Cricetulus griseus: one gene and its partners. The protein of the gene in region 1 purifies or fractionates together with the protein of each later gene. This does not show direct contact. Links are inferred from orthologs where the notes say so. Each region holds a gene or a part of one and is shown in the gene's direction. Other genes may lie near its edges.

Region 1 (5,386 bases):
TCCCTTGCCTCCTTTTTTTGCAGGTGCTTTCTGTACCTGCAGGTGAGAGGCTGTCCTGTTCTCTCACTGTTCTGCAGGTTACGTAGTTCACAGTGTTGGCATGTGCCTTGACTAAGTTGAAAGCTAATGTGTTAAAACAGAAAACAACACTTATAAATGAATGTACCTTTTATTTTTATTTTTTTGTTTGTTATGTTTTTATTTTATTTTACTTTGGTTTTTCAAGACAGGGTTTCTCCATGGCTTTGGAGGCTGTCCTGGAACTAGCTCTTGTAGACCAGGCTGGTCTCAAACTCACAGAGATCTGCCTGCCTCTGCCTCCCGAGTGCTGGGATTAAAGGCGTGTGCCACCAACACCCAGCTGAATGCACCTTTTAAAATGTTTTATTTATGACAATTATTCTGAGAGAGAGAAAGTGTGTATGCATGTGCAGGCATATGTGTACCGCGGTGCGTGTGTGGAGAACAGAGAACAACTTTTGGAGTCAGCTGCCCCCTTCTGCTGTGAGTTCCCAGGACTGAGCTCAGTTGGAGTCAGCTGCCCTCTTCTGCTGTGGGTTTCCAGGACTGAGCTCAGGTTGTCAAGTTTGCAGAGCAAGTGCTTTTAACCTGTGGCTGACCTACCTCACCGGTCCAAATGCATCGTTAAACAAAACTAACCTACAATCTTCATTTTCCTTTCATACTAGAGGTTGCTGGGGGTACTTTTTTTAATTGATTATTTCAGAATCTCACATCATGCGCCTTGATTGAACTCACTTCCTAGTCTTCCCATGTCCATCCCCTTCTACTGACCCCACCCCCCAAACAATTAAAAGAACAAGTCTATTTTGTGTTGTCCATGTATTCACTGGAATGTGGTTAAATTCCTACCAGCCAGCCCCCCTGCATCCACCGCCAAAAGCCATCATCTGGGGAGAGCCATGTGGTGGCCAGAGCCAGTGAGGCTAGCTCCCCACACACACACACACACACACGCACACACACACCACACACACCACCACCCATGACAGCAGTTCTGGGATTGGTAGGGACGGGGCCAGAGGTTGCTGGTTTTTTTGTTTGTTTGTTTGTTTTTTAATGAAGTCTCTTATATACATCCTAGAAACTGATATGGTTAAAGAATAATTTTAGAGTAACACTTCTCAGCCGGGCGTTGGTGGCCACAAGCCTTTAATCCCAGCACTCGGGAGGCAGAGGCAGGCGGATCTCTGTGAGTTTGAGGCCAGCCTGGTCTCCAGAGTGAGTGCCAGGATAGGCTCCAAAGCTACACAGAGAAACCCTGTCTCGAAAAACCAAAAAAAAAAAAAAAAAAAAGAAAGAAAGAGTAACACTTCTCTCTAAACATGATAGCTTCTTAGAGATAGTGGGAAACGGAAGGGGGAATTTCATGACAGACAATCCTAATTAACTGTTTTTCTCTAAAACCGTTCTGTGAACTCTGGTATGTTTACTTGATCTTTTTACTTTCAGTCCTATTTGGAGGCAAATGTACCTTGTTGATGTTGTTTCTTCTGATGGGGTACCCTCTGGTGGTTTGGGGAAATAGGCAAAACTCTGCTCCCACAGAACCTCTGACCTTCTCTTGTTTCATTTTATGCCCCTTTACCTGCACAGCAAGTGGTATCAGGATTTGTATAAGAAAAAAGATGCTTTAAGGTCATCAACAGAGTGGTGCCAGGTTACCATTCTAAGTAGTTAATCTTTGGTGTTGCACTCCAAGAGTAGGATCTGTAGATAAAGGAATTTGGCTCTGCTAGAGCCAACCCAAAAGTGTGAACTACTCCAAGTGTCTGAGAATATAGCTTGGTGATTGAGTGCTTGCCTACCATCCATGAGGCCCTGGTTTCAACCCCCGTTCTGAGAACAGGGGTCTTGCAAGAATAAACCTAAGTGGTTTAAACCAAGAGAATGCTTATACGTGAAGGAATTGAGAAGGTAGTAGCAGGGGATGCCCACTACCTATAGGCTGAAGGCTATGACTCCCAGAGTCTGGGTTTACCTGGCAGAGATGCTTCTGAACAGAGAGAGGAAGGGTAAGTACTCAGCTGCTGCTTGTGACACAGTTTCCCACTTTGGATTCCTTTGGCTGAACTATCCAGAAACAGCCAGCAAACCTGGGACTCAGCCAAACCTGGCCTATAGGAAACAGGTCTCATTCAATACAGAGAAGAACAGGAGGGCCTGGAATGAATCAGAGCAAGTGACAAACTAGAAAGAAGGAGCCTGCAGCCTGCAGTGGCAGCTCTGCCTTAGGGAAAGCCGGGCGGGGGGGGGGGGTGTAAATGGATGCCTGGCAGATGTAGCCAGAGGAGGGTTTAATACATTGGGAGTGGCCACTTCTCTCTTTCCGGATGAGCTGAACAGGTGGGGCACGGACAAAGGAGCAGATACTTAAGCTGAGAGAGCTTTGTGCTCTGAGCCACACTGGTGGGGGAATTACCCAGAACCAACAGGAAAACAGATGTCAAACACAAAGCACACTCTTAATAGGATCTTGGCTAGTAATGACAGCTGACATCGAGGTGGAGGAATAAAAAGAATTTCTTACAAAAAAATATTGGGTCTGGAGCTGGAAAGATGGCTCAGTGGTTAAGAGCACCCACTGCTCTTTTGGAGAACCCAGATTCAATTCCAGCACCCACATGCAGTCCATAACCATCTGTATCTCTAGTTTCAGGGTGTCTGTCTGGCATCCACAGGTACTGGCTACTCATGTAGGGTACATACGTACAAACAGTCAAAACACTCATACAGATAAAATAAAAATCTTTAAAAACAAAAAAAAAGTAGGTCCTCTAGACACTCTGGATACTGAGGAGCAAACACTGCTAATAGATGCCTATCTATTTCTAAACCCCCTTTTCTCTAACTATGAAGAAATACTTCTCTATGGTTCATAAGGACCCATGTCTGCACTCCTATCACTTGAGTGGTAGATGCAGGAAGATCAAGAGTCCTGGGTCATCTTCTGCTACATAGCAAGTTTAGTGCTAACCTGGGCTACATGAGACCCTGTCTTAAAACAACAGGAAAGAAAAGAGTGATTAAAAGGGGACCCTGGGTGCCTATAACTCTAGCCTTTAGGAGGTAAAGATGGAGCAGTACTTTCACTTCCCAGGTACGAACTGTTCATCACCACTAGACTCGTAAGGCACTCATCCAAAAGGTGAACAGAGGTGTCTGCAAGTCTTTTCAAGATTTAATGTATATGGGTGTTTTGCCTACATGTATGTCCTTGCACCACATGTGTGCACAGTACGAAGGCCAGAAGGGAGTGTCAGATCCTCCGGAAAACTAGGGTTACAGATTACTCTTAGCTGAACCTGGATCTTCTGCAAGAGCAACAAGTACTCTTAACTACCAAGCCGTCTCTCCAGCTCTCAGATGCCCTTTTAAAAAACACAGAAACAGAAGTCGTGATTACCTTTTTCTTACAAAAGGATCTCAGGTCTCAGGCTTATAGCGGACCCAGCTCGGCAGAGAATCATGATGTGGTTTGTCATGAACCTGCATCTGATTGCATGTAAGTGAAACCACTAAAGCCCAGAAAATAACTGCCTTAGGCTTGGAACACTGGGTCTTTGTTCAGACTAAGGTATTCTCTGCCAGTCAGCTGGGTGGGGAGTTTTTGCTTTATTTATCACCAGGTTTTAAGAGAGAGAGTAGAAGCCAGGCATGGGAAGAAGTCGGCCAGCACCTGTGATAAAGTGATCTTTATTCTCGCCAGGCGGTGGTGGCACACACCTTTAATCCCAGCACTCGGAGGCAGAGGCAGGCGGATCTCTGTGAGTTCAAGACCAGCCTGGTCTACAAGAGCTAGTTCCAAGACAGCCTCCAAAGCCACAGAGAAACCCTGTCTCAAAAAACCAAAAAAAAAAAAAAAAAAAAAATGATCTTGATTCTCTGAGAAGCCACTAACTTTTCCTGCTATTCTGTTCTGTCATGAGTTGGGGTTCATGTGAACTGGAAGTAACAGGTTTCCATCCTGTGGGAAAAGGTGGCTGATGTGAACTGGACATTTCTTACCAATAGGTCTATGATATTGCGTTCAGCCGAGCTGGAGGTGGCAGGGACATGTTCGCCTCTGTGGGTGCGGATGGCTCTGTGAGGATGTTTGACCTCCGTCATCTGGAGCACAGCACCATCATTTACGAAGACCCTCAGCATCACCCACTGCTTCGCCTCTGCTGGAACAAGCAGGACCCTAACTACCTTGCCACGATGGCCATGGATGGAATGGAGGTAAACCCCGTTGTCATGTGAGCTTTCTGCCCTGGCTGGTCCCGTGGCCCTTGAGCCCCAAATGAACACACAAGACTTATATTAATTATGAAACTGTTGGCCGATGACCAGGGCTTCTTTTTTTTTTTTTTTAAGATTTATTTATTTATCATGTATACAGTGCATGCCAGAAGAAGGCACCAGATCTCATAATGGATGGTTGTGAGCCACCATGTGGTTGCTGGGAATTGAACTCTGGACCTCTGGAAGAACAGAGTGCTCTTAACCCCTGAGCCATCTCTCCAGCCCAGACTAGGGCTTCTTATCAGATAGCTCTGTCTTAATTATTAACCCATTTCTATCAATCCGTGTCTTGCCACAAGGCTGTGGCTTACCCAGTAATGACCAGCATGGTGTCACTCCTCTGGCAGCATCTTGACTCTGGCCTCCTACACTTTCCAGAATTTGTCTCCTAGCCCCACCTATTTTCCTGCCTGGCCAATCAATGTTTTATTCATCAACCAATAAGAGAAACATATAAACAATAGCATCTCCTATCACCCCATACGTCTGCCTGTCCCTTGTCCAATCTGCCTTGTGTATTTACAAGAGTAGCTCTCGGATGGTGGCGGTTTTGTGCTCAGTTGATCTTTGGAAATACCTGGAAACATTTTTGGTTGTCAGAAGAGGAAGCAAAGAGTATTTTTGGCATCAAGTGGGCAATGATCAGGGAGGCTGCTAATGACCCTGCAATGCACAGACAGTTCCCAACAGTGTCAGTCTACTAAAAATGCCAAAAGGGCCTAGACTGAGGACCCTGGTCAACAAAAAGGACTGTGCTCAGCTTCTCCCCACTTTGGTGAAACAGAGTTTCTGTAGCTCAGGCTAGCTTGGAGCTTACTGTGTATCCTAGGCTAGCCACAAACTCACTGCAGTTGCACTGCTTTTGTGTTAAGGATTTCTGATACAGTGGGGATGTAGCTTAGCAGGAGAGTACTTGTCTAGTATGCTCAAGGCTCTGAGGTCGATCCCCAGTACAAAAAAATCACACCCTTGCATACACACACACCAGTAAACTTTCAATGGGCATGGTGGTGGCACACCTTTAATCCCAGCACTTGGGAGACAGAGACAGAAGGATATCTGTGAGTTCAAGGCGAGC
Region 2 (5,885 bases), on another chromosome or scaffold:
CAAAGTTTTCAGTAAATAGTCATCTTAGGGCTGGGGAGTATAGTCCAGAGGCAGAACACTTACTTTGTGTGGATGAAGGCCCTGGTCTAACCCTCATAGTTCTCCCAAAATAAAATTTAACATTTATTTTTATGTGTGTGTCTGTGGTTACAGACTGGAGTTACAGCCAGTTGTGGGTGCTGGGAACCGAACCTGGGTCCTGTGCAAACTCAGTAAGTGCTTTTAACTAATGAACTACTGCTCCAGCCTCCACAAATAAATAAATAATAAATAAATAAATAATCTCATTTTTCTTAAAAGACTTTTAATTGGCCTTCCTTTTATTCCCCGCCTTAAAAATTAAGGCCCAAACTTTACTCTCCATTATTTATCTTAATCTGCAAGGTAATAACCTAATTGTACTTACTACTCTATTTCCACCAAACGTCACTCAGCCCTTTACTTACTGAACTCCAGGTACGCAGGCCTGTGGGCTTCTCAGAGGAGCTAATCAACCCCAGCCTAGCAGCCTCCTCTACTAGAATGTCCTTCATGTCAGATGGTGGTCTTCTTATCCTTTAGGGCTCAGCTTTGTTGTTTTAAGACAGGGATTTTGTTTTGGAGACAGGATTTCTCTGTGTAGTTTTGGAGCCTGTCCTGGAACTAGCGCTTGTAACCAGGCTGGTCTTGAACTCACAGAAATCCGCCTGACTGTCTCGGGAGTGCTGGGATTAAAGGTGTAAACCACCACCACCGGTTTAGATGTCGGCTTTTTGACATGTCACCTCTTCAGAGAGGGAACAATACATAATCTCTTATTCTCAAATTAACTTTAAAGTTTTCTTCCCAATTTAACCTTGGGCTTATCTGGCAGGGTCAGTCACAAATTAATTACCTGTGCCAGAACTCACGGTTGGGCCACACTGTAGCCCAGCCCCGTTCTTTCCTGGCTACCCCTAAGAGCTCCAGATTCCGAGGGTTCCGGTTGGTGAACACTGGGGCCACAGCTTCGTTTTCCTTAGTCTCCACTTCGGGCTGAATCGCTGGCGAGGAACTGGTCGAGCGGGCTGCGAACCCACACTCTAGGAAATGAAAACGACCACGTGGATGTTTAAAACGACTAATACGGGCGCCAGAGGGGCGTGCTCTAACCATTCCCATCACAAGGCCCAGAAGCGGGTAGAAATGGCCGTCTGACCAAGGTTATCACCACCGACCCATAACGTCCCACGGTCACCCCGGGAGCGGCTAGTGCGTTCGCTTCCGCAAGCGGAACCTCGGGTGCAAAATTGGATTTGCAAATTCCCATATACTGTGCACAGCGAGCAGGCAACGACGCGGGGCGAGATTAATTACCCAGCTTCCCGCAAACTGACAGCCATTTCCAGACCCGCGGCTGAAGCGCCATCGCCGATGGGACGTAGGCAAAGCCTCCCAGTACCCGGCCTTGCTTTGCTCACGGTCGTCAGGGAGAACGACTAGCGGCAGCCATGTTAACTGGGGGAAAAGCTACAGATGCCAGCAGGTCGTCGGTCACTCCGGGACCCGGAACAACAAGCTCCCTTGTACTGAGTGGCCGAATAAGCGATCGGTATCTCCGCTTCGCCAACCACCGCTGACGTCGAGGCGGGGGGCGGGGCACGCTCGCGTAGCTCTTTTCTCGGAAGTCCGTCCCTGCGGCATGCGTGACCCCAGGCAGTGGTCGCCCAGCTGCAGACCCCAAACCTCGCTGAGCCTGGACGGAGTCTCAGCTGACTCTCCGAATGCTCCCTGACTCCTAACTATGACCGGAGCTCAGAGATGAAAGGCGCGCGAGCTCCCAGCCGTACCTGGGAGCTAGGGTCCGTAGCCCGCCTCCCACCACAACCCTATCAGCTTCTCTAGAAGGCGCGAGAACGCACGAGCGCCGCCCCACTCCTCCCGCGGCCCAACTTCGGTTCCTCACTTCCGCGCCTTTCTCGTCCAGCCTCTAATTGGATAAATAAATTGTAGACCCACCCCCCCTCCAGTTCCGGCGTCTTCAGTCTCGCCCATCCTCTTTTTCCCAGCGGGCCTAGCGGTTAGCGGAGCTTGGAAAGCGGGCGGGGCTTGGTACCCAGCATCCCGTGCGGCGTCGCTCGGGCCTCTCTCTCCACGCCGTCCGCGTTCCCCGCTGTGGTGGCCGCAGTCCGGCCTCTGAGCGGATATCCCGGCCGTCCGCGGTGTTAGCGAGGCCAGCCAGGTTCCCTAACGATGGAGGGCCCTTTGTCCGTGTTCGGGGACCGCAGCACTGGAGAGGCGATCCGCTCCCAGAATGGTAAGGGCGCGAGAATCCTGCGCCAGGCCCGCGGCCCAGGCCGAGGCCCGACTGCGGTCGCTAGGCCGGGGCTTCCCCCTCGGCACAGCGAAGTCCCCGTGGAGGCCCGGGCCCAGTGCGGACCTCACCCGCGGGCCCAGCCGGCGCCATGGCGCCCTTCGGCCCTGGGAAGAACGTTGGAGCACGGCACGCGAAAGCCCGTTTTGGGAGGTGCCCAGGGTGGGTGTGGGCGTCCACGCCCCGAGTGGGGACTGCGCTACCCCGGAAGGCTAGCTCCAGACCTGATCGCCCGCCACGCCTCAACGGTCCCTTTGTCCTGGTTCTAACCGGGTTGGAACATCCCGGACACGACCAGAGAGGAGTAGTTTCCACCCGTTCCATTTGCCCAGGAGAACATGCCCACAGAATGTAGGTGGTCGTCTTTGCGTGGCTTCCCTCCGGCCGGTTGTCTTTCAGTTGATAGCTGCTCCCAGGAATACTTAACGGTTTGCAAATTGAACGATAGGCGAAATAACACGTGTTTGCTGGTAGTTGAACCTGTTTTTTTTTTTTTAAAGCACTTAACGTTTTCCGATCGTGATTGTGCTTTTTTGTTGTTGTTAAGGTGCCCCCTCCCCCCGAAATACAGTTACTACCGAGATGGACTACTATTCTTATTAAAACATGCTAGAGTCTGAAGAAAAGGCTGAGATGTTAACCCTGAAATTTTTCTTGCTGGCTGGAGAGATAGCTCACCAGTAAAAACACTGGCTGCTCTTCCAGAAGACCCGAGTTCAATTCCCAGCACCCACAGAGCCCCTCACAACTGTCTGTTAACTGTATTTCCAGGAGATCTGACACCTTTACACCAATGCACATAAGGGATTACTTATTTTTTGAGGCATTGACCTCTTTGTGACATTCCAGTACTCAAAAAAGTTAACCTAGCCCGGCCATGGTGGCACACACCTTTAATCCCAGCACTCACTTGGGAGGCAGAGGCAGGTGGGTCTCTGAGTTCGAGGCCAACCTGGGCTACAGACCTAGTTCCAGGATAGTCATGGCTGTTAAACAGAGAAACCCTGTTCTGAAAAGAAAAAAAAAATAGTTAACCTTCACTAGTCCTTTTTTTGGTTTTTCAAGACAGGGTTTCTCGGTATTGCTTTGGAGTCACTAGTCCTTAAATAGGTGTGTTTTTATTTTTTTAATTCCCCAAAAATCGTAATTATTGCAGATTGGTAGGTTTAAGAAAATCATAGTTGGCTTGGTGTCTCTTAGCTTGTGAATTGTTCTAATTTTTCGCCCATTGTTCTATCTTCAGTTATGGCTGCAGCTTCCATTGCCAACATTGTGAAAAGTTCTCTGGGGCCAGTTGGCTTGGATAAAATGTTGGTGGATGACATTGGTGTAAGTATATCTCACTGTTCTTGGTGGCCTTGCCTCGTGGAGCTTGGTTTCTGTGTTGACCCACTTCCTTCATATTTCTCAGGATGTAACCATTACCAACGATGGGGCCACCATCCTGAAGTTACTGGAGGTAGAACACCCTGCAGCTAAAGTTCTTTGTGAGCTGGCTGACTTGCAAGACAAAGAAGTGGGAGATGGAACTACCTCTGTGGTGAGGCACTACCTGGGAGTGGCTAGAGAATAAGCCCGTTTATTAGAGTTGAACCCATGAAAGAATCCTTTACTCTAGATATGTCAGGTGTTTATGGTCTCATAAACATTTGAAAACTAATCATTGCACCTACTTTGTGCAGTTTGAGTAGGAGAAAAATCATATAAGGTAGTTGAATATAAGCTTATTTTAAATACTGGGAATTTGGATGCTTATTTTCAACCCCCTTGCCATGATAATGTTTACATGTAGAAAAGAGTTTCTCATTTAAAGAAAATGTTACCAGGTTTCGGCTTCTTTGTTGTTCAAAACTAATGGATAGTTTTGGATTTTAACCATAGACAGGAAATTTGGGAATTCAGAGTAGAAATTTCTGGTGTTTGTAGCTTGGACCATTTGCACAGACTACTTTGTGGTGTTCTCCATTTTATGTTTTCAGCAAGCTGCTACTTGTCTGCTGTGGCTGGTTAGTAATGCTAGGTCATAGCTGGACATTGTGGTGCATGCCTTTAATTCCAGCAGTTGGGAGACAGTGGAAGGTGGATCTCTGAGTTTCAGGATAGCCAGGGCTACACAAGGAAACCCTGTCTTGAACAAATAAGTAAATAAGATAAAAATAACAATATTAGATAATTTTGATGTTTTCCTGTATGCATTGTGCATATTGAATGACATGAAAACTTAAAGCAGTGTTTAATCAACAGGTAATTATTGCAGCGGAGCTTCTGAAAAATGCAGATGAACTAGTCAAACAGAAAATTCATCCAACATCAGTTATTAGTGGCTATCGGCTTGCCTGCAAGTAAGATTATATTGAAAGAAAATGTTATTTCCTGTAATGGTTGTAGTCTGTCTTAATGTTGTGATTAATCATTAGTTGGCAATGTTCTGTCTTAGCATTTGGGTGGTAGTATTGAAATATTCAGCCCAGTGTACCTCTGTTTTCCCAGTTGACTACCACGTTTTCTCCCAGTAGATTATAGTGGCTATGCTTATGGGATAGATGAAAGGTGCCATGATCTGAAGGGGGAGGGCTTTTCAGTGTCTTCCCCCCTATATGAAATGGCTGAACATAAAACCATCGCCCGATATTTCACAGCGTGTTGGATGTGGTGAAACGCAAAACCTCTGAGTGATGTTTTTATATTTTTCTTTGCCGTTCCTTTCCCAGGGAAGCAGTGCGCTATATCAGTGAGAACCTAATTATTAACACAGACGAACTTGGAAGAGACTGTCTGATTAATGCCGCTAAGACATCCATGTCTTCCAAAATTATTGGAATGTATCCTTAAATGTTCAGTGAAATTTGACCCTAACCCCCTTTCACTCTTAAAAATTAGACTAGGCTTTTATAGAATGTCAATTTTATGCAATAAAATTTATAATTCTTATCTAATGCAACTTGATCTTGTTAGAGAAAAGTGACTGAAACTGCTGCTGCCACCCCAGCCTTGCTGTGGTGAGAGGGTGGTTTGGAGTGCAGATGGTGCTGCATAGAGGGAAGTCACCCTGACTATAGTAGTACTACTTACTGTCTTCCATTGGTGAATTGTCTTGCTAAAAGAAAGTCTAGTTGAATTGCTTTTTGTGTCTTTGGGTCTTTTATTCCAAGACTATTGCTGTCCTTAACTGTTGTCTCAGAAATGGTGATTTCTTTGCTAATATGGTGGTAGATGCTGTACTTGCTGTCAAATACACAGATCTGAGAGGCCAGCCTCGATATCCAGTCAATTCTGTTAATATTCTGAAAGCCCATGGAAGAAGTCAGGTAGAAAGCATGCTGATCAATGGCTATGCACTGAACTGTGTGGTGGGATCTCAGGGTACGTAAGGGTCAGCATTGTTGTTTGTTGGTTTAGTTTTGTCTATCTGTGTATTTTTCATAGTATACATCTTTTATTTATTTGTTTGTTGGTTTGTTACACATACAGTGTTCTGCCTACCTGCCAGAAGAGGGCACCAAATTGAATTGTAGATGGTTGTTGTAGATGGTTGTGAGCCACCATGTGGTTG
Region 3 (5,996 bases), on another chromosome or scaffold:
AGTGTCTACTCTCTTTCCCTCTAGCTTATTTCCTATTAATCATTTCTAACACACATCTGCTTGGGTCCTAGAAGGATCTCTTGGCTCACTCTTGCAGATGGACTGCTTATGATAATCAAGGAGTTCTTCCTCCAAGGTACCCTTGAAGAATATCCCTTCTACAGTCTGCCTTTCTCCTGCTCTTTTCTCCCAAAGGCCAAAGGACTGAAGTAGCCCTGCAGTGGACTTTGTTTTGAGATAGGGTCTCACTCTGTAGCACAAGCCGGTCTGGAATTCACTAGGTAGGCCAGGGTGGCCTCAAACTCGTGACATGATCCTCCTGCCTAGCTTCCTGAGTGCTGGGTTTGCAAGCATGAGCCACCAGCCCCAGCCTGGAGTAGAATTTTAAAGATAGATAAATGCTGGCAGTGACCATGAGGTCAGAATGCAAAGACTGGTGTGAGCAGAGCTAATGGGGGTGAGAAGGAAACCGTGACACCATAAAATAAATGAGATCGTCCTCCTCCCCTCCATTCCTATGACCCTCTTGCTGCAATAATGAAGATATCATCAGAGTCAGGACAACACAGGCCATTGGTTTTCAACTAATTTTATAAGAATTAAGGATGAGGGAGGGGACAGTTGAGTAATTTCTAAGAAATCTATACACTCTAGTCACCAAACAGTGTGGAGTCAGGGAGTGCTTGAGTTTAGTATATGACTAGTGTGGTCTATTCTCTCCAGAGTATGAAAAGGGTGTGATGGCTCTCTCACTTTGAAGATCCCTTTGAAGTCGCCTGCCCCAGTCTTGGGTTCTCACGTTGTCTTGAGTCATTGGTACCAGAGTCAGAGAAAAGACTGGATCAGCACCACAGAGTTGGAACCAGGTAGTCTTGGGGCTACTACAAAGACAGACAGACCTTGATGATCCGAGGAACAAATCAGGACTGGGAAAGTGGTACTCAAAAGGAATGGTGACACCAGCGCGCCTCTACTGGCCGCCGAGGGCAAGCAGAAGGGGTCACTCCAGAGCTAGGACACAAAGGACCAGTGTCACCTGATTGAGCCCGAGGCTCTCAACTTTAAGGTCAGGTCCGTGACTATGTTAAATCTCTGTGTGAATACATACTTTTTCCGGAAGTCTAGGGCGGGGGAGGGGGGATGAGAGAGGGTACTGTTATTGTTAATAAAAAGGTTTTATTTCGAAATTTCCCTGGGGGAAAACCAGTGAAGCAATCTCTGGAGTTGTGCTGTGCTAAGACACCCTCCGCTAGGACACACGGCTTCTTCAGTGATGCTACCCCTCACCCAAATAACAGCTAGTCACAGCACAGTGAGGAAGCTTTACTGCTTTAAACAGGACAAGAATCCTGAAACACACGTAAACACGATCTATAATTCAGTGTGCCCCCGGGGCGTTCCAGGAGCTTCAAGGCGGCGCTCCGAGGGGGCGCGCCCTATCCCGGGTACTGTGCTTCATCTAGACCATCTCACCAGGAAGGGAGTCCTTCAAACTTGCAGGCTGACTGGACAAGCCCAAAGTAGTTGGAACCGCTCACCCAGCGCCCAGGGAATAGTGGATGCCCCTGAGGCTCCGACGCTTCCAAGTGAACACATCCGGGAGAGGCCAATTAGGGGAAAGAGAACTGGCCGAAGCAGCTTGGAGAAGGGGCCCGGCTCCCTAGGCAATGGCCCGCCCCCAGGCGGCCTCCAGGAGAAGCTTGGATCCTAGGACCAGAGCAGGCTCTGTGAGCTCCCACCGTCGTTCCCACCCTAGACACTGGCGACAGCCCCCGCCAGCACACACACACACACACACACACACACACACACACACACACACACACACACACGCTAGTGGGAAGCAGCGGACATCAGAAGAGCCAGAGCAAGGGAGGGCGCAGAGCCTGCGTCCAGAAGTCCCATCCCTTGTATGACCCGGTGGCGAGGGCAGCCCGGCAGAACCCGGAAAGAGAGAGCAGTCCCAGTGCGCAGCGAAGGCTGGGAGGCGGCAAGGGGGGCGAGGGCCCTTTAAGACTCTCCCCGCCCACCGGCGGCGCCCGCCTCCGCCCGCCGCTCTCCCCGCCCCGGGGTCCGGGAGAGAGCTGCGATTGGGCGGGCGCGGCGATCCCTTTGAAGTGTGGCTGCAGATCGCGGCTATTTGACGTGCAGCTCGCGGAAGGCGAAGGTTTTTGTGTTGCTCGCCTGGGCTAGCGGCGGCGGCGGCGGCGGCAGCGGCGGCGGTGGAGGAGGGGAGGTGGCATCCAGGCGCAGCGACTGCTGCACGGCGTTCGACGCAGCGGAGCGAGCCCACCCGCCCCGGGAGCTCGCCTCCCGGAGCTTCCCCTCCCTCCCCGCCCCCCCAGTGGCGCTGCCTCCTCCAAATGAGCGATTCGCCCGCTGGATCTAACCCAAGGACACCCGAAAGCAGCGGCAGCGGCGGCAGCGGCAGCGGCGGCGGCGGGAAGAGGCCGGCGGTGCCGGCGGTGGTGTCCCTCCTGCCCCCGGCGGACCCCCTGCGCCAGGCGAACCGGCTTCCTATCAGGGTCCTGAAGATGCTGAGCGCTCACACCGGTCACCTCCTGCATCCGGAGTACCTGCAGCCGCTGTCCTCCACTCCCGTCAGCCCCATCGAGGTCAGTCTCCGGGCGCTGCCCACCCAGAACCGAACCCATTCTGCCACCCATGCCGGGCCCATGGCCCTCTGCTCCCTTACCCACTCTCCCCACCCCCGTAGCTCAGTGCGACGCGACTCTCGAGACTGGCCACGCTGGCGGACCTTATGAAGAAGGGCGAAAGGCAGGAATCAGACCCCTCCAGGTTCTCCCTAGACTCCCGGGTGGAAGGGTTTTTCTCACTCGCCCTTCGGAGCTGCGTGTTTTCTGTCGAACTGGATTTACTCCTGTGGTGCCCAGAGTCCTTTACTTTTCCTCTGGCCCCCTGTGTCCTGTCCAGAGATGGCTCCTGGGCCTCTCTCGCCTCCACCCCGACCTGTTCTCTTGGAAGCCGCCCGGGTTCCCCCGCATTTTCCCAGGCCTGTTGGGGCACACTGCAGAAAACCCAAGCACTCGCGACCCCGGGTCTTTCTTCATCCCACTTCTCTTGGTGTTCTCCCCGAGAGGGAGGGAGAGGAAAGAGGGAGGGGCTACTCATAGGGCCAACTGCAGCTCTGCCTTTAGAAGGAGCCTCTCCCTGCTCCTGCCCCGAGCGCCATCATCAGAAACCCGTCCCAAACGAAGTTCTCCCAAACTAAAGGCTTAAGTTTTACCCCGGGCCAAGAAGAGAAGGAGGATTAGATGGAAAGGGGCGAATCACCGCCCCGACTCCAGAGAAGTCACCTTTAACCAGGAGGGCGGGCGTTGAACCGTTTCTCCTGTGCGCCAGCGCCCATGACACAGTCAGGGACTAACGCAAGTGCCATACCGCCCTGCTGCTCCGCCGGAGCCAGGCCTCCTTCTCAGTGACCCTCTTCGCTAGGCCCCCGTCGCGCCGCCAGTGACCTGCTTTGCGTCCCTGCGGGTTTACTGGGTCCCCTAATCTCACCCCTTCTCCCTCCCCTTTGCCACTGTCTCCCGCAGCTGGACGCCAAGAAGAGTCCGTTGGCACTACTAGCCCAGACCTGCTCGCAGATCGGCAAACCTGACCCGCCGCCCTCGTCCAAGCTCAACTCAGTAGCCGCAGCGGCCAACGGGCTGGGATCCGAGAAAGACCCGGGCCGCTCCGCCCCCGGCACCGCCTCCGCGGCCACCGCGCTCAAGCAGCTGGGGGACTCCCCCTCGGAGGACAAGTCCAGCTTCAAGCCCTACTCCAAGGGCTCCAGCGGCGGCGACTCTCGCAAAGACAGCGGCTCCTCGTCAGTGTCCTCCACCTCCTCTTCGTCCTCCTCGTCCCCCGGAGACAAAGCGGGCTTCAGGGTCCCCAGCGCCGCCTGCCCTCCCTTTCCCCCGCATGGAGCGCCTGTCTCCACCTCGTCAAACTCGTCTTCACCGGGAGGCTCCCGAGGAGGTTCCCCGCACCACTCAGACTGCAAGAACAGTGGCGGAGCCGGCGGCGGGGACCTGGACAAGAAAGACCAGGAAGCCAAACCCAGTCCGGAGCCAGCCACTGGGAGCCGAGGCAGCAGTGGGGACTCGGCTCACGGTGGCCCGGAAGCCGCGGCATCAGGGCGCAAGTCGGAGCCGCCCTCTGCTCTGGTGGGGGCCGGCCACGTGGCTCCAGTGTCACCCTACAAACCAGGCCACTCGGTGTTCCCGCTACCGCCCTCCAGCATCGGTTACCACGGCTCCATCGTGGGCGCCTACGCCGGCTACCCGTCTCAGTTCGTGCCTGGCTTGGATCCTAGCAAGTCTGGCTTAGTGGGAGGCCAGCTGTCCGGGGGCCTGGGCCTGCCACCCGGCAAGCCCCCCAGCTCCAGCCCGCTCACGGGGGCCTCCCCGCCCTCCTTCCTGCAGGGATTATGCCGTGACCCCTACTGCCTGGGAGGCTACCACAGCGCCTCGCACCTCGGCGGCTCTAGCTGCTCCACTTGCAGCGCGCACGATCCCACCGGGCCCAGCCTTAAGGCCAGTGGCTACCCGCTGGTGTACCCCGGGCACCCCTTGCAACCCGCTGCGCTCTCCTCCAGCGCTGCCCAGGCCGCCCTTCCGGGCCATCCTCTCTACACCTATGGCTTCATGCTGCAGAACGAACCGCTGCCACACAGCTGCAACTGGGTGGCGGCCAGCGGGCCCTGCGACAAGCGCTTTGCCACTTCCGAGGAGCTTCTCAGCCATCTACGGACTCACACAGCCCTGCCCGGCGCAGAGAAACTTCTGGCCGCCTACCCCGGGGCCTCGAGCTTGGGCAGCGCCGCAGCAGCGGCGGCAGCCGCAGCCTCTTGCCATCTGCATCTCCCCCCGCCCGCCGCCCCAGGCAGCCCTGGATCGCTGTCATTGCGGAGTCCACACACTTTGGGGTTAAGCCGATACCACCCCTATGGCAAGAGCCACTTATCTACAGCTGGGGGGCTGGCAGTGCCATCCCTCCCCACAGCCGGACCCTACTACTCGCCATATGCGCTGTATGGACAGAGACTAGCCTCCGCCTCGGCGCTCGGATACCAGTAACTACAGCTCTGGCCCCTCCCAGCCCTTCCTCACCCACCCCTTCCTCTCATGTCCCACTGCCCTCGACGCTGCAACCTCCACTACTGCTTACCCCTACCAGGATACAGCCCAGCCCCTCCCCATCGGACTGTGTATTTATTTACTATAATGTTAGCTTACAAGCTGGGAATATAAGTGCATTAATGGCCCACATGAGTCAATGGTATGCAAAAAGTCTGTCTCCCCAAATAATAATATTAACCACCCAGATAACGACATGATCCCCTTCCCTCTCCCTTCCTTTTTTATTTTCTTTTTCTTAGGTATATGTTTTAAGGGATTTTTTGGTTTTTTGACTGGTTTGCTTTTAAGGAATGAAGGGAGAGTTGGGGTTCTACACTTTTAGTTTTCCCATTTTGGGCAGTCTCTTGCATGACTCTCAACTGTTAAAACTGCATTTCTTCCCCTTTCCTTCCACCCCTCTTGTTTCTCTCCATGTGAGGTTTTAATTATTTTTTTCCTTTGTACAAAAATATTGTAACAATTTTTGGGGGGTCGAGGGGAACCTTGGTGGCTGGAGGTCTTGAGCTTTGTTGAATCAGAACGCTGCTGTGTGGCCCTCCCCAGCAACCCTCCTTTCCCATGTGAGCACTTGGTTCTAGGCCCTGACCCCTCAAATCAAATCACAGCTTTGATCGTCCAGGGTGCTCAGCTTGAAGAGTCCAGGTGCGACCGGCAGGATTCACCCCTGCAGTGGTCCCAAAGGCCTCCAACAGAGCCTGTCATCCATTCTGCCTTCCTGACCCTTCAGGGACCCACACCTCGCTGGGCAGTCAGATTGCCAGCTGATGGGGACCTGGCACATCCCGCCAAACGTCTTAAAAGCCCCTGCTGGCACAAAATTGCTCTCTATATTTTATGAAGTACTTTATC
Region 4 (5,861 bases), on another chromosome or scaffold:
TTGACCACTGTTTTTAATCTAATAAACCAATTGGTATTTTTTTGTACCTTTCTTGGAATTTTAATTTTTGTTAGCTCCCTGTGTATGATGGGGAAGGAAATAGAGATTTGATGATGTGCATAATAAAGTTGTTAATGTTCGTTCAGTACTTTATGTTAGGCCCTGTGTGTGCATTCTCCATGGATGCTTTTATTCAAATGGGGAATTAATAGAACATTTCTGCTGAAGAGTTAGATTAACCTAGGCAGATTACTGGCCTGAGAAGGTATAAAAGATGGCTTTAGGTATGTGAGCATGGTGTTTGAGATGAGGACGTTAGGTGGCAAAGATATCCTGACAGAAGCACACTGAGTGCTCAGCTGTGCTGGATCCTGTATGCACTACAAACACAGACCCTTTTCTGGAAGACTTTACAATCAGGGGCATGGTGAATGTAGGTGTTGACAGTGGTGCAAGATGGGCCCCTCATGCTATCTTTTTCACTTTAGTTTAGGAGTAAGTAGCATTGAAATTCTTCTGGACAGCCTGCAGGAGAGCTGGACACCTCTGTGCAACTTCTAATCCAGCATGGGAAGGTTGGAAACATAGAGGAGGTGAAGGCTGTATTTAGGAGACAGCAAAGTTAGTAGAGACCCTGGTATTACATCTAAGATCTGGAGATTTCAAAAAGTTACTGAACCTGTCGTTAGGTGTGGCTCCTGCACCACCAGCAAGTCAAATTATCAGCCAAAAGCCTGGAGATTTAAATGAAAGACAAGATGTCTAGTCGTTTGTGCTAAGAGAATGTGTGTGTGTGTCTCTTTATTACAGGGAGGGAACAGCCTTATATACAGATGTACAGCACAGTGGAAGAACCCAAGGTGTAAGAGCTCATGTTTTCCCAGGTGTGGTTGATGCCAGTAGGGCAAGGCCAGGACTAGAAAACAGGATGTACCTGTGGTTATTGGCTGACAAGCAACTCACAGAGACCCCATGGGGGCTGGGGCCCAACACTCGGGAATATACACTTGAAATCCTTTTCTTTACTCTTAAGGGGTAGTCAGTCCCTCTCTAAAGATGCCATGTCAGGTAGATATAGCCAGGAGAATGAGAGAGATCATGTAAAGACCATAACCAGAGAACTCATGCAGGCACGTTTGGTTTATGCCTGTGGGGGAATCTTGGTTAAAAATATGGTGTGGCTGTCAGATTAATCTGTGTGTAAATTTTCTATCAATTATGTTACAAGTCACTTCAATGTCCAGAGTGCAAATTTCTTAAATGGTGATACCAGTAGAGTCTATCATGAAATTGTGAGGAATCAGTGAGGAAAGATGTTATGTTTAACATATAACCTGTCCTATAGTTTGTGCTGGGTATGTAGTAACTATTTAATTGCTGCTTAGGCTATTGGCAATAATTAGTCTGTCTACATAAACAACTAGAAAGCTAATCTAGGATTCAATGCTGAGTATTGTAACTCCATAGCTGGTCTAGATTGGCGCTGGCTTGAACTCAGTTCTTGGCACATAGTTTCTATATCAAGTAACTCATTTTTTACATTATTTTTTAATGCACTTACTGCTTGGTGTCATATACATACAAGTTGCATTATCCCACAAAACTTAGCCTTAAATTTTCAACCAAAATAACAGTGTTCCTACGATAAGAGTCTTGGTTCAGACAATGAAATTCGGCCTGGGGTGTGAGGTGGTCTAGCTCTGCGTGGGAGCCCAAAGGCTTCCTCTGTTCCAACCGCCAGGGGGCAGCACTCCCCGCTGCGGTGTGGAAGAGCAGCACCGCCCACTCTCCGTCCCCCCCTCCACGTGGGTCCGAATGGTTAGGCCCGCCGGGCAGGTAGCGCGCTTCCGCGGCGTCCCTCCACCCCCCTCCCCTGCCCCATTGGTAGGGGCTGCGGGTCCGGGCGGAAGTGGGGCAGGCGGGCGGGAGCGAGGCGTCACCGTTGTATATTCATGAGGCGCGCGCAGCCCAGCATGTTAATGAGGCGGGGCGCGGCGGCCGGCTAAGAAGGCTGCTGGGCGGCGGCGGTGGTTGCTGGCTCGGGCTAGCCGGGCGCGAGTGGCGTAGACCAGGGGTCCCTGGCCGGAGCTAACCAGAACATGGAGCCGTCCGGCGGGGGCCTGGGGCCCGGCCGCGGGACCCGGGACAAGAAGAAGGGTCGGAGCCCGGATGAGCTGCCCGCGACGGGCGGCGACGGCGGCAAACCCAAGAAATTTGTGAGTGTCCCTCCCACCCTGCTCCTCAGCCTGGCGGGGTGGCCGCCCTCTGAACTCGGGCGACCCTCGCTGCCCTCCGGGGGCGTCTGCCTGCCGCTGGGGAGCCGCCCCCGCGCCTCTCTTCCTGGTTTCGCTGAATCCTGGGCTTCGCGGTCCCACATTCTCCTCCTCCCGGACCTCGGGAAGCCCGGGAGTCCCACCTGGCCCTCGCCTCGGCCACCTTGGAGCTTCCCTCGCTCTGGAGTCCGCCGGCTCTGCGCTCCCGCCCCCGTGGCCCGCGGGCTCGCAGCCTCACTTCCTTTCTTCTGCCTCTAGTACCCCCACACATCTTTTTTTTTTTCTCTAAATTTCTTTTCTTTTTTTTTTTTTCTTTTTGATTCCCTGTAAGCTGTTTTGGGTCCATTTTCTCTTCTCACTCACACCCCGTTTGGGTTATTCCCTTTCTTCTAAAAGGTCATTTCCTTCCTTACTAGTGATCCCTTTCACCTGCTAACTTTCCTCCCGCCCTGTCCCCTTCCAGGGCTCTCAGCCCGGTGTCACCTGGTAATGCTTCCCCGCAGGAATGTTACCTGACTTGAGTCCTGTCTTCCCTCCTCCTTTGGACGTTTGTCCTTGTGATTACGGGTTCTGCCCAGGTCCTGTGGTCACTGGGGCATGGCAGTATATGACTTCCCAGTATTTCCCTATCCACAAACCTGTTTCTTACTGCCCTGTTGCTTATCACTTCAGAGGTTTAGAACTTTTTTTCACGATACTATGCCCTTCATGACCCGAGATGATGATTAATCTCCCTCTTGAACGAGTTAGACTTCAAGTCCAATAAGTTTGTGAGTAATTTGCTTTTTATACTTTTAAAAAATAACAACCATCTCCTTAACTCGCCTTTGGCCATCTTCTGTGTCTCTAGGTTCCTGACATCCCCTTTCCTATCTGTAGGAGAGTATGTATCTTTCCTTAGGTGCCGGTTATTGGGACTTTCGAGGTTCATGTAACGCGGTATTTTACTACCTGTTGCCTTTCCTAACTAAATCCTCTTCTGTCTCCAGGGAGCTACTTTGCTTCTTCCTGTAAAAACTTTGAAAGATACTGAGCAGTCAAAAAGGGAGTTTCTGCTCAGTTGTTGCCAGTTAATAACTAGATACTTAGTTTGCTCTTCCAGGTAGCACCAGTAATCTCTGAAGCTAAATGGCTTGAATTCTTCTTAACTCTTGCTTTCTTTCACGCACCCCCACCCCCAGCATTCTGATCCAAGTCCCCGAGTTTGGGAATTAAACTGATGAAGTGATGGAAGTGGGAAGAATATGTTTTGTGACCTGGAGGGTTGAATTAAAAGAGTGACTGACTCATCTCTTCCTATTTCTGGCAAGACCAGGTGCTCCTGTTCTGTCCTTTCTAGTGACATACAGGGTGTCAGTAACTGTTTGATCTGGCAAATACCTTTGTAGAAATAGGATCCTAGGTGACCACAGCAATATATCCTTAGGTTCTTTCTTTAAAGGTAGGAATTGACCCTCCAGTTTGAGAACTTTCCTTCCAAAATGTAAGTTTTAGGGCCTGTATTCTATTTCCGTGTCTTTTTGTTTTGATTTTGTTACCATGGATACTGTTTGACCTTCGTCCATACTGGCTATTTTTGCTGATTTGTAGTGACCTCTTATTACTGTTTCTTTTTAAAGTTTCATGTGTGCTTTTTTATTTTTTCTAATACCGTGTCTCATAAAATTGGTGAAATCTACTGGTGTGTGTGGTTAGGTGAGAAATCCCAGGAACCTCAACTTCTTTCCACCTGTTTTTTTGGCACAGTTTTGTGTTCGCTGAGTGGATTTGGCCCAGAGTTGTTGATAATTTGCTTTATAGAGGGTGGAGCTGAACCTACTTCTCTTTTACTGAGGTTCTGGTTTTAACCCTTACATTACTGAATTTTAAGAACTGGGTATTGCAAGTAGTGAGGATTGGAAGGTTTCCAGGGAAGCAGGCTTCTTCACATCCTAATTGCTAAATATAATCTACCTTAAGGCATCAGGATATTCTTACTGCTTTTTATGAGAACTATGAAAATGAGAGACAAGGAGCATTGCAATCCACTTCTCTTTGTCTCTGTATATATAAGTGTGTGTGAGTGGGTGGAGTGGGTGAGATTGCTGGGGTGCTTTTGTCACCCAGGGCTCAGTTTTCTTGAACTACTGGCTAAGACCAATCTCAAAACTATTTCGCCTACTCCACCTTTTCTTAAGTGTGGTATCCGCCAGAACTCCCATTCTGAATGTACTGTACAAATGTGGCCTGGACTAAGTGTGCTTGAAGGTTTGCATTTGAGTGTTTGTAGTCCTTAGGCTGCTGTTACACCTTTCTGAGCAGGTTGTTTGCATTTGAAGGACTGCAGTTCGTACCTTTCTGGCTTATACAGATTCTAAGTACAAATAGACTGAAAATAGAAAGCAGAGCTCATAAATTGCCTGAGACCTTCTTCACCCACTGAGTCTTGCTGTGTGTGGAGAGCAGCTGATATAAAAAGTAGATAGGCCACATCTTTTAAAGGCTTGGCTGCTGCAAGTGTTGATGTGAATGACTGAAGGCAGGCTGCCTAGTTTTACCTGTCTTCTGGGCCATGAGCATTTCCCTTCTACAGTGTTATTCCAGTTCCTTTCCAAATCCTTTCAAAGGAAGGAAAATAAAAATTCCAAGTGAACAGAGTGTTTCTGACTTTGCAGCAGGGACGAATGTGCATGTCAGATATACTCATTTCTGAAATATATGTAAGGAGAGTCAGTACAACCAGGGTGTTAGGAGGCTGTAGAGTATCCCTGCATTTAGTAGATTACATGTCTGCTCACATAGTTGAGAAATTAAGACATTCTAAGAACAGTGATTCCTGATGCAGTGAGGAACATAATATGTTCAAAAAGCAAGGCGAGTTGGTAAATGTTTCAGTACTTAAAACAAAAACAACTGAAAATAAATTTTATTTTATTTTTATTATTTTTTTGAGACAGGGTTTCTCTGTAGCTTTGGAGCCTGTCCTGGAACTTGCTCTGTAGATCAGGCTGGTGTCGAACTCACAGAGATCTGCCTGCCTCTGCCTCCCAAGTTTTGCGATTAAACTCATGTACCACCACCACCTGGCTGGAAATAATTTGTTAAAAGATGTTTTTATTTTATGTATAGGAGTGTTTTGCCTGCATGTGTGTGTGAGCACCATGTATGCTTGGTGCTTAAGGAGGTCTGAGGATGGCATTGGATCCCTGGAACTAGAGTTAGAGATGGTTGTGAACTACCATATAGGTACTAGAAACAAGTGCTCTTAACTACAGAGCCATCTCTCTAACCATAAAGAGCTGAAAATTTTATGGACTGTAAATTGTTTATTATAAAACCTAAGGAAGTAGTAGTATTTGTGATGAGAACAATATAACTCTGATAAGCACGTGAACCAAAACAGACCTATTGTATATTCTGTATGATAACCTTTTGTTATCCTTATTGGTCTGCGCTATAGTTTGCACGTGGATTCTAGGGAAGGATTCGCTTCAATAGAATGTAATAGAGACCCAAAAGATACAGTTGTATACCACATGTGATTCAGAAGAAAAGGTTAAAATCATGTTTATTAACAGGAAATATGAGACATGGTAGTAGAGGAACAAT

The links.
Region 2: the proteins of Dcaf7 (region 1) and Tcp1 purify together in Homo sapiens (affinity purification with mass spectrometry; 3 studies listed by BioGRID and IntAct, counting the BioPlex papers as one, with this or other methods). This does not show direct contact. The link is inferred for Cricetulus griseus from reciprocal best matches to the Homo sapiens genes DCAF7 and TCP1.
Region 3: the proteins of Dcaf7 (region 1) and Znf703 purify together in Homo sapiens (co-immunoprecipitation; 5 studies listed by BioGRID and IntAct, counting the BioPlex papers as one, with this or other methods). This does not show direct contact. The link is inferred for Cricetulus griseus from reciprocal best matches to the Homo sapiens genes DCAF7 and ZNF703.
Region 4: the proteins of Dcaf7 (region 1) and Diaph1 purify together in Homo sapiens (affinity purification with mass spectrometry; 5 studies listed by BioGRID and IntAct, counting the BioPlex papers as one, with this or other methods). This does not show direct contact. The link is inferred for Cricetulus griseus from reciprocal best matches to the Homo sapiens genes DCAF7 and DIAPH1.

The regions. Positions count from the first base shown.
Region 1 is NC_048600.1:118,982,375-118,987,760, forward strand, and holds part of Dcaf7 (DDB1- and CUL4-associated factor 7), read left to right. Parts: intron 1-4,035; coding exon 4,036-4,245; intron 4,246-5,386. UniProt on the Homo sapiens protein: Involved in craniofacial development. Acts upstream of the EDN1 pathway and is required for formation of the upper jaw equivalent, the palatoquadrate. The activity required for EDN1 pathway function differs between the first and second arches.
Region 2 is NC_048595.1:288,142,943-288,148,827, reverse strand, and holds the start of Tcp1 (T-complex protein 1 subunit alpha), read left to right. Parts: upstream 1-2,123; 5' UTR 2,124-2,211; coding exon 2,212-2,275; intron 2,276-3,575; coding exon 3,576-3,661; intron 3,662-3,743; coding exon 3,744-3,872; intron 3,873-4,576; coding exon 4,577-4,674; intron 4,675-4,814; exon of another isoform or gene 4,815-4,952; intron 4,953-5,043; coding exon 5,044-5,154; intron 5,155-5,513; coding exon 5,514-5,695; intron 5,696-5,885. Other genes in the region: Mrpl18 (39S ribosomal protein L18, mitochondrial), read right to left, coding at 875-1,061, 1,336-1,387. UniProt on the Homo sapiens protein: Component of the chaperonin-containing T-complex (TRiC), a molecular chaperone complex that assists the folding of actin, tubulin and other proteins upon ATP hydrolysis.
Region 3 is NW_023276807.1:56,854,473-56,860,468, reverse strand, and holds the start of Znf703 (zinc finger protein 703), read left to right. Parts: upstream 1-2,234; 5' UTR 2,235-2,363; coding exon 2,364-2,615; coding exon of another isoform or gene 2,616-2,619; intron 2,620-3,266; coding exon of another isoform or gene 3,267-3,388; exon of another isoform or gene 3,389-3,544; intron 3,545-3,557; coding exon 3,558-5,084; 3' UTR 5,085-5,996. UniProt on the Homo sapiens protein: Transcriptional corepressor which does not bind directly to DNA and may regulate transcription through recruitment of histone deacetylases to gene promoters. Regulates cell adhesion, migration and proliferation.
Region 4 is NC_048595.1:199,706,224-199,712,084, forward strand, and holds the start of Diaph1 (protein diaphanous homolog 1), read left to right. Parts: upstream 1-2,099; coding exon 2,100-2,216; intron 2,217-5,861. UniProt on the Homo sapiens protein: Actin nucleation and elongation factor required for the assembly of F-actin structures, such as actin cables and stress fibers. Binds to the barbed end of the actin filament and slows down actin polymerization and depolymerization.